Linked DNA regions of Drosophila melanogaster. The protein of the gene in region 1 interacts with the protein of each later gene in a pairwise test. Each region holds a gene or a part of one and is shown in the gene's direction. Other genes may lie near its edges.

What was found.
Region 2: the proteins of CG16904 (region 1) and Recs1 interact in a two-hybrid assay, tested with the Drosophila melanogaster proteins (one large-scale study listed by BioGRID).
Region 3: the proteins of CG16904 (region 1) and Xport-A interact in a two-hybrid assay, tested with the Drosophila melanogaster proteins (one large-scale study listed by BioGRID).

Annotation. Positions count from the first base shown.
Region 1 is NT_033777.3:9,813,848-9,820,848, reverse strand, and holds CG16904 (uncharacterized protein), read left to right. Parts: upstream 1-3,869; 5' UTR 3,870-3,891; coding exon 3,892-4,107; intron 4,108-4,179; coding exon 4,180-4,752; 3' UTR 4,753-4,921; downstream 4,922-7,001. Other genes in the region: CG42857 (uncharacterized protein), read left to right, coding at 1-220; CG9458 (uncharacterized protein), read left to right, coding at 982-1,209, 1,274-1,840; CG9459 (uncharacterized protein), read left to right, coding at 2,483-2,710, 2,778-3,347; eloF (elongase F), read right to left, coding at 5,829-6,401, 6,467-6,667.
Region 2 is NT_033777.3:14,152,385-14,157,372, reverse strand, and holds Recs1 (Recs1), read left to right. Parts: upstream 1-3,543; 5' UTR 3,544-3,613; coding exon 3,614-4,408; 3' UTR 4,409-4,488; downstream 4,489-4,988. Other genes in the region: CG31533 (uncharacterized protein), read left to right, coding at 82-2,616; CG44215 (uncharacterized protein), read left to right, coding at 2,941-3,057; CG42500 (uncharacterized protein), read left to right, coding at 4,821-4,988.
Region 3 is NT_033777.3:19,913,896-19,918,965, reverse strand, and holds Xport-A (exit protein of rhodopsin and TRP A), read left to right. Parts: upstream 1-3,553; 5' UTR 3,554-3,671; coding exon 3,672-3,885; exon of another isoform or gene 3,886-3,889; intron 3,890-3,953; coding exon 3,954-4,090; 3' UTR 4,091-4,141; coding exon of another isoform or gene 4,142-4,483; 3' UTR 4,484-4,570; downstream 4,571-5,070. Other genes in the region: CG4770 (uncharacterized protein), read right to left, coding at 1-17, 82-306, 362-434; CG4465 (uncharacterized protein), read left to right, coding at 1,188-1,920, 1,976-2,976; Xport-B (exit protein of rhodopsin and TRP B), read left to right, coding at 4,142-4,483.

The DNA of each region.
Region 1 (7,001 bases):
CCAGGATAAAAGCGAAAGGATAGCAAAGAAAGCAGTTGATCAATGTGTGGAAACTGAGAAGAAGGAAAAGAAAATGCGCCCTCTCAAAAGCTACAATCCACGTGCAATTGATCCACCTAAGGTGCATCGTATGCCGACTATCACACCTTTACTCATGCAAACTGTGATAATTAAGAATCGGAAGTATGTGGCCATTAGTGAGACAGCCGACAACGAGTGATATGTACTTGGCCTGATTTTTCAGTTTTATAAGGCAGCGACTGGTATCTAATTAAACTAGTTTCGACATATGCTCATTGCCATCTATTGAAGCGCTTAATAAAAAGCACAAAACGAAATTGGTAGACTCTTTTAAAGTTGATTTCGACACATATATGTATGTACATTGTATTAAAACCCACTATTGCATTTAAATAAGTGCACTAGATGCCGCGACCCGTATTTAGTTCTAAATTTGTTATGGCTGTTGCCACTTTTGTTGCACTGGATGTGCGTGATGTGGCGGTATTTGTTTATGTACCATTTTCGCATCCGCTTTGCATGGAAGTTGCTGCAGTTGCAGTTTGGCCACGCCCACTGCGTAACCCGATGCGATACGAAAATGGCCGCCCATCTTTTTGTACCGCTTTCGTTTCGCATGTGCGTGATTTTCGAACATTTCCCGGGAGCCCATTAAACTTTTAATGGAATTTTCATAATCATGTTTAAAGTTGCGAAGGTACGTGGAAAGTTTTGCATTATTGGTATTGATTTAAAGCCAAGGGGAATCAATTTTCATGGTTACTTTCACTGTCTGCCTCCTCAGGCTCTTCAAATTAAATACAAATCATGCATTTGTCGCATGCTTCGAGTATTGGTAAACCCTACTTGCCGTACTCACGCCTAAATTACCATACCAATTAAGCGTGTTTATCGAAGCTTATAAACCACAATAAAATTAGTCGCATTTCCATCGATCCACGGTAAGCACACACAATCGCAATGTTGGGTGATCTAGTGGACTTTTTGGGCAAATCCCCACCCGATCCTGTGCGCCTGCCACTCCTGGCCAGCCACAAGCCCGTCCTGATGGTATTGGCCACCTACCTGTTCTTCGTAAAGATAGCGGGTCCAAAGATCATGCGGAATCGAAAGCCCTTTGACCTTCGCGGTCTGATAAAGGCGTACAACATCATGCAGATCGTGTACAATGTCATCATGTGCTTTTTTGTGAGTTTCCCCCCAAAAATATCAACCATCACGGATTGTTTAATATAGAAATTCCACTTTACAGGCTGTCCACTTCATGCTGGGACCCGGAGACTATAACTTTAAGTGCATCAAGAACCTGCCGCCGGATCATGAGTACAAGACCTGGGAGCGCTGGCTTACGTACTCGTACTTCTTCAATAAGCTGCTCGATCTGCTGGAGACGGTCTTCTTTGTGCTGCGAAAGAAGGATCGCCAGATATCCTTTCTGCACGTCTTCCATCACATGTACATGCTGTACTTCAGCTTTATGTATCTGTACTACTACGGATACGGTGGTCATGGGTTCTTTATGTGCTTCTTCAACGTCGTCGTGCACATCATGATGTACAGCTACTACTATCAGTCGTCGCTCAATCGCGATTCGAAGGGCGATCTGTGGTGGAAGAAGTACATCACTATCGTTCAGCTCATCCAGTTTGGAATCGTTCTGGGGCATAGTATCTACACCCTAAAGCAACCGGACTGTCCATCAGCCCGGTTCTCGGCGACCTGTGCCGGCAGCATCTCCGTTGTGTTCATCATCTTATTTAGCAACTTCTATTTTCATGCCTATATTCGACCCAAGAAAAGGAAACAGAAAAACATCTAAGCTAGAGCCAGTCATCAGATTTGTTCTGTGCAGCATTTAGATCTCTATAGAGAAACCTATTTTAATTTTAGAGCTAATAAAAAACATAAAGATGTATTTGAATTGTATATCTGTTTACTAGTAATGACTGATATTCGGATGAATATTATGATGGAAAAGGTGGAATAACACAAGACTTTGCCCGAAATTGTATGCTATTACTACGAAAATATCAATATCAAACAAAGTGTAAGTAAACTTCATTAGAAGTGACACGGTTAGAATTATATAAAATCGATTGATCTTAGAATACGTTAAAGTTATTACGTCAAAAGGCATTAAAAACTGGACTGCATTTAAAACTGGACTACATTAAAAACTAAATACGAATGCCATTATTTTACCTTTCGTAACCAGGGGACAGTGGATGTTCAACATATCCGGCATTCCAAGCGATGGAAACCTATTTTCCTTACTTTGTGACCGCAATACCCTCTTATATGGTCGGCGTAATAGGTTTTACTTACGTATGTAGGTATTTGTATAATAGAAACACACACTTAAATCAGCCTCGAAAACGAGCAGATTACCATTTCTCGGTTCTCGGCCGGAGTCCACATCAGTCGCTATTCCACCGACGTCGATAACACTTAGATATCCGACATGTTTGCCCATATGCTGGACTTCCTGAATCGATCGCCACCGGATCCTGTGCGTCTTCCGTTGACCAGCAGCCACTGGCCGGTGTTGACCATCCTTGGAATCTATCTAGTCTTCATAAAAATAGTGGGTCCTTGGTTTATGCAGAATCAAAAGCCCTACAATCTGGATAGAGCTATCAAGATCTACAACATCGTGCAAATCGCATACAATGTCATTTTGTTAATATTTGTAAGTAATGCTCTTTTTTTTAACAAAAATATATTAATATTCATTATATGTATCTCCAAATTTAAAGAGTGTGCACTTCATGCTTGGTCCTGGCAACTATAACTTCAGTTGCATATCCAATCTGCCGTTGGATCATGAGTACAAGAACTGGGAGCGTTGGCTCAGTTACTCCTACTTCTTCAACAAGCTCATGGATCTGCTGGAGACTGTGTTCTTTATATTCAGAAAGAAGTATCGCCAGATATCGTTCCTGCACGTTTTCCACCACGTATACATGGTGTACATAGGCTTCTTGTACATGTATTATTATGGATACGGCGGCCATGGATTCTTCTTGATCACCTTCAACGTGGTGGTGCACACCATGATGTACACCTACTACTACCAGTCGTCCCTCAATCGGAACTCGGGTGGCGATCTCTGGTGGAAGAAATACATCACAGTCGTTCAGCTTGTCCAATTTGTTATTATATTCTCGCACAGCGTCTATATCCTCCGGCAAACTGATTGTCAAACATCACGATTATCGGCAACTTGGGGCTCACTGATATCTGTAGTATTTATAATTCTATTTAGTAACTTCTACGTTCGCACCTACATTCTTCCCAAGAAAACGAAATCGGCGGTGGGCCGATGAGCAAAACTAATTAAGATTTAATATCACTGTTCCTTACATTAATCAATGTCATTAATAAATGCTTTTGATACAACAAATTCATTTGTTTTATATCATTGTATATATCGTATATTATACATAGATATATATTTTACATAAAGCAATGGGAGATATTTGTTGGTTTCTAGAACTCTCTATCCACTCGACTGCTTAATGCTATTAAATATGCAAAATACCCCTTTAATTGGGTCTCGCCAGTATTTTATAAATGTAGAACACTTTTTTTGTTGTATTGACAATAATGTCAAAAGGAGTAATTTTGTAAATAATGGCACTGCTGATTAATAAAATGTTGAAAATAAAAACGTAGTTGAACTGTTACTTATATTGTATTTAGTTCGATTTGCAAAGCTTTAAGTATTCAAGTTGAAGGTTGATAGTGGGTTAAACATACCGGAAATTTGCACTAATGTAATTAGCAAATAGGTAATAGTATAGTGGCTATCGTGAAAGAAAGAAATCACAGAAGGTAAAAGTCAAGTCACTCGTTAAGTCGTGCGCGAAAATGTTCGAGGTGTTCGATAAGCCCTTCGCCGATCCTGTCCAGCTGCCGCTGGCGGGCAGTATCCGCACCTCGGTGATCATCATCACGGTGTATCTATTGTTTGTGCTCAAGCTGGGCAGGAAGCTGATGGACAAGCATGAGGCACTCCAGCTGCGAGGTGTGCTCAAGTTCTACAACATCGGACAAGTCCTGTTCAATTCGGTGATTTTTGTGTGGGTACGTAAGTCGAAGGATATCGATATACACAGTTTTTTAATCGTTTTCAATGGATTGCTCCATATTACCCAGGGCATCCATCTGTTATTCGTGCAGAAGCCGTACAACCTGAGCTGCATGCAAGTCCTGCCGCAGGATCATGAGCTAAAGTCCACGGAAAGGACACTGTCGTACATGTACCATCTGAACAAGGTGCTCGACCTGATGGACACCATATTCTTTGTGCTGCGCAAGAAGCAGCGCCAGATCACGTTCCTCCATGTGTTCCATCACGTCTTCATGGTCTTCACCTCGCACATGCTGATCCGATTCTACGGTTTTGGTGGCCATGTCTTCCTGATCTGCATGTTCAATGTTCTGGTGCACATCGTCATGTACGGCTACTACTACGCCTCGTCGCAGAGCCAGAATGTGCAGGAGAGCCTCTGGTGGAAGAAGTACCTTACCCTGGGCCAGCTGGTGCAGTTCCTCCTGATGTTCCTGCACTGCATGTACACCTATTTCCAGCCAAACTGCTCGGCGTCGCGGGGTGTCATCTATGTCATAAGTTCGGCCAGCGCCTTCATGTTTCTGATGTTCACCAAGTTCTACATAAAGACCTACATTCGGCCGAAAGAGGTCAAGTCCAAGGGCAAGGTCAACTGAATGCACCTGCTACACTGTGATCAAAAACTGGTAATTCGTATGTACATAACTATTGGGGTGCATAGGAATGAAGAGTGTCTTTCCAACTTTCATACAATTTTTGTTATAAAATTCCCACCTTTGATCCTGTTTTTTTTTTGTATTATTTAATAAGAATGTATTTGTAATCAACAAATATTTTATTATTACTTTTACAATACATTGGCTTCTTAAATTAAATTTGAATTATAAAGTGATACATCATTGGTTTCTCTGAGTGTACTCGACAATTTGCATATGCGCCGTTTGAATAATAGATGAATTCAAATGCATCGACAGTTAATTCAAATGCAGTCGAAAAGGTCAAGGAGTTAGACTCCGTCCGGAATAAATCCCATCGGCCACATCTCGACTACTCGTGGTTTCCATCGTCGAATCGAGGGGATTCCCCTTGGCACGTGATCTGCATGCTCCGCAGAACTTGGACCGAGCACGTCTCTGGACATTCCATGCTGCATTTAATTAGAATATTAGGAACGAGCCTGGCCCAGCACCGGCGATTTATGGCACCGGAAGGGTCACCCGTGGCCGGCCGAATTTGCATAGGAATCGCATGCGGCGAATCAGAGTCAAAGTGCCAGCTGAATAATTGCGGCCATGCGGCAACATTAAAGCGAAGCCGCAGTCAAGTGCAGTGGTTCCTGGTTGGGCACTAGCTTTTCGGGTCCTTCGTCCTTAGTCCTTCGTCCTTCGTCCTTCCTTGGCCCCTGGAATGGGGCCTCCAACTGGCCGAGCCACCGAGCGTGCTGAGTAATTGCCGTTTTAAATGACATTAAACGTGCATTGTGCATGCACTTCCCTTAGCAGTCGCATGCCTGCGTTTCCCCTTTATGCATTCGATTTTTAGCTATTTTTATAACTACCCTTTGCATGACACTGGTGAGACTGCCTTCAAAAATAGTTTGACGCCAAGAAAACAAATGTTTTTTAATTCATTTACCCCATAAAATCATATATGAAATATTCAAAAATAGGCTGTGGCTATTGTTGCTTCACGAATCTTTAGGCTTTGTACTCATGATTTAGTTTAAATTTAGTTAATTTTTGTTTTGTTTCGCTGACTTCTTTCCTGGCTTTATGTAGTTGTGGTAATAAAATTGGCTAAATATCACTGCAAAAAACGCTGAAAGCGATCCGCATCCGTAGGTCAAGGGTCTGTTGACCGCGCAGTTGGGCTGTGCCAGCGTGATGGTACAGTGGAGCAGAATAATGGCGAACTGGACCAGCTGAGCAATTGTGATGTATTTCTTCCACCAGAGACTTCTCTGCACCTCCTTGCTGATCGAGGATAGATAGTAGTAGGCGTACATAATCACGTGGACGGCGGTGTTTAGCAGGCACTGTGGAAAGGCAACGCCACCGTATCCGTGGAAGCAGTAGTAGAGATATCCAAAAAATGCCATCGCAAAATGATGGAAGACGTGCAGGAAGGATATCTGTCTGTCCTTTTTGCGGAGCACAAAGAAAATGGTTTCCACAAGGTCTACGAATTTGTTCACCAGGTACAAAGTGCAAATCAAACGCTCTCTATCCTTATATTTGTGATCCATCGGCAGGCTAACAATGCAACTGATTTGGTAGGCTTTCAGGACAAACAGGAAGTGAACTCCCTGTAAAAGTAGCATCCTCCCATCAGAACCTGCAGATGTCCAGAAGCCCCAGTTCAAATACTTACTAAAACGAGTATTAGACCATTGTAAAGGATCTGGAATATGTTGTAGATCCTGATGACGCCATTCAAATGGAAGGGCTTTCGGTGCTCCATGATTTTGGGGCCCAGCTTGAGCACAAACAGCAGATAGCCAATCAATGTGCCCATGGTTATCCATGGATTGCTTACAACGGGTATCTTTACAGGATCTATCGGAGCGAACATGGCGAATCTAATCGAGTTGTGCGATTGATAGTGACTAATCCAAACTCGAAATTAGGCTCTCGACCTTAAGTGGCACAAATTGTTACAATGTTTCTTTAAATGGAGCATTTACATTCGTATGCCGTAGTGTGCATTTTAAATGGGAATTCGGGAAGCGTTCTATCCACGCTTTGATTTTCAAGTACCACAACTCGTGGATATGCTAAGTGACTTCAAGATATTAAAAGACTAGCGAGTAACTTGGCCAGGGCTAGTGCTGAGATAGCTGTGAATACGGTGCCCAGTAGAGTCTTGGTGCTGAGTGCTCCAATGCAAGTTTATTAGTTAGTCGGTA
Region 2 (4,988 bases), 4.3 Mb from region 1:
ACCGATTTTAATAGATGATACCTCAGAAGAACTGACCTAGGACATACAAATTCTAAAATACAGCAAATAAGCAACCAAAAAATGACGGAATCGGCTAACTTTCTATTCGACTTGGTCATCACCAATCTGAATATTTTTGGCGTAACGATTGACGAACCCGCCAAACTCCTGGTGGAAACCAAGGTTGCCGGAAAATCAGTGAAGGTAACGTCCAGCCGAATCAATGTCGACCAGTTTGTGGCCGGCAGGGAGTTTGAGCTCCCAATGGAAGCATCGACATTGCGTCAAAGTCTGGAGGAGAAGGGTTTGACTTTGGCGGGTGTTTACCAGGGATCAACTCTTGGCAAGGCCACGGGGAACTTCCCTGTGGAGTTTCTTGACAAGATCAGCCCCACGATGAACGATCTGGTGCACGAAGATACACTCGATTTGGTTCGTCGAGTTGATGTAGTTGGAACGGTGAGCGTTCTAATCCGCTTGACCGTAAAGTGCGAGGAGCACCCAGAGCAGAAGCCTTCAAGGCAAAGTCTTTCCCGAACCAGCAAATCATCGATGATACTACCGAAGAAAGAGAAAAGCGGACGAGTCAGTTGTGCTAGCCAGGGCCCGACCTTCAATCCTCAGGATGTGATGTTTCTCATCGGCGATCCTGATCCTTTACTTCGAATTCCCTCGGAGCCGTGTTCTGAACTTCTATCCGAAATAGGAGATGAACGCCTGAAGCTGGACTTGCAGCGCTACAAAAGCTTGGAAAATCGTCGAGCAATCTTTCCAGATGATGACCGCTGTCCCAAGCAAAAACCCTCATTTATGCAACTTAAAAAGCTCACCGAGGAGTATTCTAATATCATTGACTCTGTGACCAAGAAGGTCAAAGAAATGGAACCGCAATCGAGCTCGTTGGTTCCTACGGAGCCACCTTCCGATGCGAATGTCATAACTCCATTTTACACACCGCGGTCTCTAAGTCTTGCTCCCGTGAAATCTGGCATACCTGTTTCTGTTAGATCCGACTTATTACATGGCGTGAAACCTATACGGTTCTGTCCTGTCTGCTTGTGCTCCATGTCGTGGATGCCAAAATATGCACCATGCCCTCAATGCAATACTAAAGCAGTTCCCATACTCCAAGGACATCCGATCGAGAATATTACGGCAGAAGAAATTTTGGCTGAACAACTAGTAAAACCAAAAGCACCGCCCGGAGTCGAGGACTTTTGTGAGCCACCATGCGAAAAGGTGCGCCGGAAGATCTGGAACGATACCGAGTGCCCACCATGCCGTTGTACATGCTCTAAGGGTAATACCTGCCCCCACTGCCGAATCCGCAAGATGTGCGATGACATTTTTACCGCCAAGAGTCCACCAAAACCTCCCCGCCGAATTCCGAAGCCCCGGTCAAGTGAGGATTTCTGTGTGGTCATGGAATCTGAGGGGGAAGATGATCTTCCCTACCTGGCGAAGGTATTTTCCGAGCTAAAGAATCTGTACCATATCCACGACACCAAGAAGCTTTCAGCTATTAAGGAACGCTGCGCATCTCAGTCCTTGTTCACTATCCGCAGCAGGCGATCCATCAAGGAGCTGACCAAATCGCTATACCCAGGAGACAAAATACTTGACGGAAGAAGCCATCATCCAAAGGCTGGCCACAAAAACTGCATTTCGTCCTCAAGCATTGTGTCTCGTCGCCATGGTTGGAACTGGACAAAAAGTTGCGAGGCACGGAAGAATGGCTGGCGGCCAGGTGCCATCCTACGATCCTCTGGCCATGTGATGCGTCACTTCCTGATGCGAAGTAGAGATCCGAATATGTGCGGCAAGGTAACAGCTGATTACGAGGAACAGAAACGATTTGGCCATCCCGTGCTCAATATTTGCAAGCGAAATGGTAATATATTCGTAACCCTTCGTCCACTGCCCACTTTGGGTATGAAACAGAAACCCATAACGTTCCGGATCGTCAAGAGCGATATGGCGGTGGCACTGCGCCAGATCAAGCGTGCTCTCAAGGATCAGGGCTTCGAGAAGTGCAAGTGCCACCAGTCCCTGATGATGTGCACCTGTCGCGATGCCTTGGATAAATTTCACCTGAATAAGGCTCTCAAGAAAGAGTGCCAGAAGCGTTTTATAGAGCCATGTCCCGACCACTTGGTGCTTACCGACACAAGTGAGAGCGATTTGGAGTTCGATCTGGATGTGACTCCGCCGGCGGGAACTCGTAGACCGAAGCGCAAAGCCCTTAGGAACGTGGTGAATCATAGCACCCAGACTGCAATGAAGGAGCCACCAGTTATACCGCCTCCATATCCAGTAGCCCACAATCACTTCTATAGGGCCTACGATTGCGCAGCAGGAGATCGGTATATGGGCACAGCCTTCGGCGATAATATAGAGACCGTTTTCGAGGATGGAGTCTTTGGATACCGGGGTGGTGGCCAGCATGGAAAGCCCGTAATCTGGCGACACCCGAAGGTGTGGGGCAAGAAGGCCCAGGCACCACTCCCGATTGGAACCGCTAGGAACGCCATCGATCCTTACCGGTATACCAAAAATGTTTGGAAAGAACTGCCGCGAAAGATAATACAAAAAATGAGAGCAAAATCAAGGAAATAATTGTATTCTTTTATTAAAAGTCAAAATGTAATAAGCGTGTTTTATTTCTCTTAAGCTACAATGGCAGCCGTTTGGAATTATAGGAATTAGTATAATAGTATTATAAATAATTTTATTTTATATTAGGGAGCACATTTTTTGTGATTGTTAATGACGCAATCCAACTTGTTTTCAAAGTATTGCTAAAATTCTATTAATACGAGCATAAGAATTTGATTAAATATGCTAATTATATAGAAATTATAAACTGGTCTCAATCGACTGCAAACGGTAGTATAAAAGCGCCATGCCAACTGTTAGACTGTATTCATTAAAGTTACCAAAATGAAGATCTTCGCTCTGTGCGCCTTTTTGCTCCTCATCCTGGCTGCCGTCCAGGCCAATAGTTCTCCTGAGACCAGTGCGATCTCTGAAGGGAACCTTAAGAAAACTGCTGGATAATTTATAATTTCACGAAAGCTACTTGAATATTGGAATAAATATTCTATTTAGCAGCAGAATTTGTTGTATTTATTTGTATGCCCTTGCAGAGGGTATAATGATTTCAGACAGAAGTTTGCAACGCACTAAGGGGTACATTTGCAACCATTTAAAATATGTATAAATAATAAGTATTAACAGCAGAGTGTATATAGCCATATAGTCATTTAGTTATCCGTAAGTCCGTTTTTGCTCAAATTAGTCACATATTTAAATCTTTACATAAAATTGTTGTTTGAATTTAATAAATACGCATTACTGCAAATGTATATAAGACGGAAGACAGTATTGGATATATATTATTATAATATTATAATATTGTGAATTTTCGAATTCTAAAGAAATGAAGTTAAAGTTATGTTTATGATAGTTACTAATTATGAAAAGAAGATTTATAGTTTCTAAGAAGTAAATTCCATTTAACGTTGACTCTTCTGTCATACTATACTTCAATTTCCGACAAAGGTTATTAAATTAAGAATTAGCAGTTACTTGAAAGTTGTGTTCGAAGGACACAATGCTGGATATTTTACAAGAACCAGTACATCAGTATGGAAATCGGAGCCACCAGGCGGAGTGTATTCCGCTGGGAAGATATACAGCTTACGGATCGGAAATCGGACAGGATGATCCAGACAAGGGCTTGGGATTCTGCAGCGCCAGCATCCGGCGAGGATTCATCCGGAAGGTGTACCTCATCCTGTTGGCCCAACTGATCACTTCCCTGGTGGTTATAGTTTCACTTACTGCTGATAAACGGGTGCGTCTGATGGTGGCAGAAAGCACCTGGATATTTGTGGTGGCCATACTAATAGTGGTCTTCTCTCTGGTGGCTCTGGGCTGCAATGAGGATCTGCGTCGTCAGACCCCAGCTAACTTCATCTTCCTATCTGCCTTCACGATAGCCGAGTCCTTTCTGCTGGGCGTGGCAGCCTGTCGTTATGCCCCAATGGAGATTTTCATGGCCGTGCTAATCACGGCGTCAGTTTGCCTTGGACTCACCCTTTTTGCTCTGCAGACGCGTTACGACTTTACCGTCATGGGTGGCCTCCTGGTGAGCTGCCTGATAATACTGCTCTTCTTTGGAATTGTGACCATCTTCGTGGGCGGACATATGGTCACCACCATATATGCCTCATTGAGCGCTCTGCTCTTCTCCGTTTATTTAGTTTACGATACACAATTGATGATGGGAGGCAAGCATAGGTACTCCATTAGTCCCGAGGAGTACATATTCGCTGCCCTAAATATTTACATGGATGTAATGAACATATTCCTGGACATTTTGCAATTAATCGGAGGATCCGATTAGTTGCATGAAATCTCACAAACACACAGATTATTTTACATCTGCAATTCGACGTCGAGTATTAATAAATCAAATTCAGCAGCAAGCCTATTTTACATTTACTTAAAAGCCTAAATATAGGCTTTAAAAATTTGGATATTTTTTATACAAAGCACAGTTGCCATAAATAATATAATTAAACTTGTTTGCACAAACAAATGCAGAAATAACAAGAATGACCGGTATTCAATGATCGCACCTGTTCATAATCGCTAATTAACGGGCAACCTATATATTGAAATACATTTCGTATAATTTAGTGTTTTGTGACCCAAAAAATAACGAAAAATTATAAAAAAAAAGATAACTGTAAACGGTTACGATATTAGGTATATAAGATCTTCCAGCACCTCAAAGTGTATCAAATTTTGAAACGATGAAGTTCTTTGCTCTGTGTGCCTTCCTCCTCATTGCCCTGGCTACCGTCCAGGCAACTCCCGGTGATCTGCGCCATGTTCCTGTAGGACACGGAGGACACCCAGTCAATGCTGGCCACGGACCTGTGGGACACGCTGGTCCTGTTGGACACGGTCCAGTTGTAGGC
Region 3 (5,070 bases), about 10 Mb from region 1:
GTCGGACTCATTTAAACCTGTTGGTGGAAAAGTCTGGTGAAGTCATGAGTTTTCATTTAAAGTTTCTCTGAAAAGCCATACCTAAGTTGTCGTCCTCAATGTTGCCAGAGAAGTGAAAGATTTTCTTCAGCTGCGTTGGATGCTCCGATTTTATGCGTTCGAAAATGGGATTCTGAAGGAATCCGCGAAATCGTTCCTCTACTGTGACTCCGCCCTTAGGTCGGATGAGCATGTAGATCCGCTTGATCTGCGGAAAACTCCAGAGCAGCTTCTCCAGCAGCGACTTGCCCACAAAGCCAGTTGCTCCTATTAAAGTTAACCATCTTTGAACAGTCTCTTTTGGAGATCGCGTCTGTATTACCCGTTATGAAGACCACAGCATCTTGGTAAATATCCGTCTGGTGCTCCACAGTACTCACTTCGGCGTTGTCCATGGTGTGGCCACTTTGAAGCCACGATAGCTACTGATCCGGTGAGCTACTCACTTTCAACGCCTAACTGGCTTGGCAAAAGAAATGCCTTGGTCCTCCCGAAACAAGTTTTTCGTGAAAATGCAAGTGGAACATGCAATTGGCCAACGAAAATAGCAACTCAGACGTAACATTTGAGCACAAACATATTACATCATATTTCGATGGGGATGTGGACAACACTAGACCTTCGTTAATGATCATTGAAGAAGTCATGAAGTGGGAGTCCATACCATTGGCTAAGAGTTCTAGGCCATTTTCAATAATTCAAAAGCCATGAACTTGAAAACTCCGGAGTAGATAAGTATTATATCTATTATATAAAATATGGCGATACCATTAAATTAAATGTATCCACAGCTGCGAAGCTTTCCAATCAGTTCGAATTCCGATGTTGTTTACCTGTCCAATTCATTAGCTTCAATCATGTCAATTGCCCGCCACCGCGATCGGATTCCCCGGCTAGATCCTCCCATAAATCCGTAAGATCGCCGCGAAAATAGATCGCAACTTGTCGGCCAAAATGTTTGCACAATCGGTTAGGAACGTTGCTCCGCTTATTTGGAATGATTTGATTAGCGACGACGTCGTAGGCAGGCACCGCAAACCGGAGCCCTCGAGTTTACCTGCCCAGGTGAGGTGCTAAGCGAAGTCGCAGTCATGCTGGAGGGTCGGCACTCCCAAGACGTGGTAACTAAATTTGGCAGCTAACTAAGAATGAAGAAGGATAATCTTTATCGAGGCTGGATGCCCAATATACGCCGAAACTCACCTGCTCCTTTGGACTTGGGCCACATGGCGCATAGCTTCACCTGCACCGATCCGAAGGCCAACGAGGTATCTCCTCAAACTCCACACCCGAAAGCAAATAATCTAGCAGATGACAACGATGACGATGTCATCACACACATCATGGGGAACTTTGGGCCCTGGCAACTGCGCTCCCTGCTCATCCTATTTCTCTGCAAGATTCCAGCCGCCTGGTTCATGGCCTGCATCCTGTTCACAGCGCCGGATCTGTACCCCGAGGAGGAGTACAAGTGTGATACGACGGCTTTCGGGCCGGATGTCAACTCCACCGTCTCGCTGGACCACTGCTATGTGATGGTTAACTACGGAGAGTCCGCCTACGCCATGCGCCAGTGTCGAAAGTTCCTCTACACCACGGGTTTCCACTCCCTGACCATGGAGTTCGATTTGGTGTGTCTGTGCGACTTCTTTGTGGCCTGGTCTCAGTACTGGCACCTCTTTGGCCTCCTAATCGGTGGCGTGGCGGCCACCAAGTTGATGCGGGTCCTGAGTCCCCGACAGATTTATAGAACTGGCATCTGGTGCCTGCTCATGTGCAGCCTACTGATGGGTCTTGTCAAAGACTTCAGTCTGCACTGTGGACTCCGATGCCTGGCTGCTGTTTCGTGCTGTTTTATGATCACCTCGGGGCAGTATATATGTAAGTAAAATTGAATATTTAAGAATACTTTAATATTAAATAACCTACTTTTCAGTTGGTGACATAACAGCGGGAAAATATCGCGTAGGAACCCTCATACTTTACGACTGCTTCTGGGCTCTGGGCTTGATTCTGCTCCCTGGCTTGGCCTCCAATGCTCCCAGCTGGCAGCACATATACTTGGGCGTAACTCTTTCCTTGCTGGTGATTGTCTTTCTGCTACCCTGGACTCCGGACTCACCGCGCTGGCAGCTGCAACACACCAAGGAAGCTCAACTGGCCATCGAGCGAACGGTGGGTATCCTGCTGGAAGCAGCCCGTACCAATGGTAGAATGCACAAAGTGTCCAAGGAGTTACCCCAGCAGTTGGAGGAGCTGAGAGAAAGGATGCTGGAGCCAATGCCCGCCGTGCATTGGATGCACTTGTGGATGGGCCAGCGTAGGAGTACTTTCCACTTGGTGGCCGTGCACATGGCACTTGCCACCTTCATGGTGGTCAACACTGGGCTGCTGCTCCATGTGCGGTCCTTTGGCAGGGAGCACCTGGTGTCCAACACACTGGCCATGGGCCTGGCCGAGATGCTTGGCTGCTTCCTGGCCCTACACCTGACCTTCAACCTGAGTGAACGCAAGTGGCAGTGGGCGGGGGGATTTGCCATCGTGGTCGGTTGCATCGGTAGCATCTGTTGGTTCCTGGCCGAGGAGGATATGCCCGAGGTGTATGGACTGACGCTGGGCTTGCTAATGGCATCACTTCCCCAGGCGGCCGTAGCCTGCGCCCAGTCCATGATTTTGGCCTGCCTGGGCGAACTGGTGCCAATGGAGCAGCGTAGTTGCCTCTCCTTCTCCGCCGTCACGTGGGCGCGGGTGTGGCAGCTCTCCGCCTCTTTTCTCACGCTGCTCAGGCAGGTGAGCCCCGCCCTCTCCCTGTCCGCCTTCTGTCTGCTGGTCATCCTGGGCGGCCTTGGCACATGTTGCCTGGTCACGCGGGACAAGGAGCAGCCACCGGTCGGAGCTGTGGTAAACAAGGGACAGCAACTTATTGCGTTCACGTAATAACGTATACTTAATATATGTCTGGGCGTATTTGATAAGTTAGTTGTAGTGTGTGTCAAGTATTCGCGAACAGTATTCGAATTTAGCTCATTAAACATTCGCTTATCGCGAATCGAATATGTATATTGGGTTGCATACTTTTGGGAATAAATCAAAAGTTCGGCATCTACACGTAGTTTGTTTAAAATGTAAAGCTTACATTAGATCAATGCAAAACTATTATAAACTATTTGGCAGAATAAGGCATTAAATAAATTAAAACTGGTTTGCATGATATTTAAATAAGCTTTCAGGAACCAGAGCCATTTGGGACCAATGTAAACCCACAAACACCAACCCTACCGGCGACCACCTTCATCCACCAAGTTGACACACATTTCGTGTGACTGGTATAATAAGTACACATGCCCGGCTAAATATCCAAGCGCATTGCTCCACTAACAACATATTTCTATTTGGTCACCTGTCCCACCATTCCCACCCAGCCAGAGCGACAAGCAGAAATCGCAAATCAATAAAATGGAAACCATAAAATTGCCAGAAGCGGCGCCACGCCAATTGGCACCACAAAGTTTGTGTCATTTGCGGAGCAGCAGTTGGCGAGGAAGCACCAGGCGGAGAGCACTTCCAGGACCAACTCCAATCAAATGCAGTGCTGTGCAGGCTGACCGACCAACTGCTGCTATCTGGATGCAATGAAGCCGAAGAAATCGGCCTTTGCCAATTCATCCACGGGATACGGCAGGAACAAGCACGGTAAAGGACACTCTGGCAAGGATAAAGTCGAGGGTGGTGGTAAGGGCAAGAGCCGAGACGAGAAGGATAAGCATAAGCATGAGCAGAAGGTGGACGAGAAGGATGACAAGGATCTAAATTCCGGCTTCGGCGACTATCTTCGCACTCCGGAGGGTCTGTAATTTTCGCTCCTTAAAAATATATAGTTCATTTAACTAATAAATATTACCCCTTTCCAATAGCATTTGAAATGATGAAACTCTTTGTCTTCGCCAATACCATAATGCTAATTGTCACCATGGCCTGGCCGCACATCAAGGAGCAATTCTACATGGTTAATCAATGGCTTGAAAGCTTCCGCGAGGAGCATCAGCAGTAGAAACCAAAGGATCTATCGAACAAATAAGTAAATCAAGTGGAAGCATACAATATGGTCGGTCCATTCATGCAGGGCCTATTCTTGATTGGCATCATCTACTGGTATTCCAAGGGGATGATGTCCATGATCAACGACTACTACAGAAGTGAGTTCCAGCGAAAGTTGCAGACGGAACCAGCAAAGACGAGGGCAGAGACACCCATCAATGTGGACAACTTTATGGATTATGTTAGGGAGCTGGACACTCCGGACGAGGTGGCTAGAATTCCGGCGGAAGGAACTGAATCTCCGCCCATGGGAAACACCTATTGCCACATCCTTCGACGATTCTTGGAGATTACCGGCACTCTACCACCATTCGATGTTTGCCTAGTTACGAGCAACATAAGATAGCCCATCCTATAATTAATTATATATGGTATCAATTATACTTAGTGTGTTTTATATGAGTTTCGTAGAATAAAATATCTTACTAACCGTATTGCATACTTAATTGTCTTGCTCTCTACATTCGAATTCTACATTGTATCCCACCATTATGAACAACAATAGAAATATTTATCCAACTTGTGGTTTTCAGCTTTTTTATTTAAATGTTTGCAGAATATATTCGTGTGTCTCCAGCATTAGCTCACTTACTAACCTATTCACAAAACTTTATAAACATACTAATCTCTATAAATATCATGGAATATATATCGATTTGGTCTGTAAGTAAGCTCTATTCAATCCAGATCTGGTCATTGCTAGTTTGCATCTGAAGCATCTCGTGAAAAATAGTTATATGGAGATATAAAGTAGTTAGGTATTTGACTTGGAAGTTATGCCATTTGGTTTATAATAAGTGCTGTCTACAAATCGCTTGTGTTCAGGTATTCGTTTTGTGGCACAAAGTGTAGAGTTTTGAAGATACCACAAAGCTGAAGATATCTTAAGTATCATTTGATTTAAGGAGGTCAGTATGTGATTAAGAGCTAGGT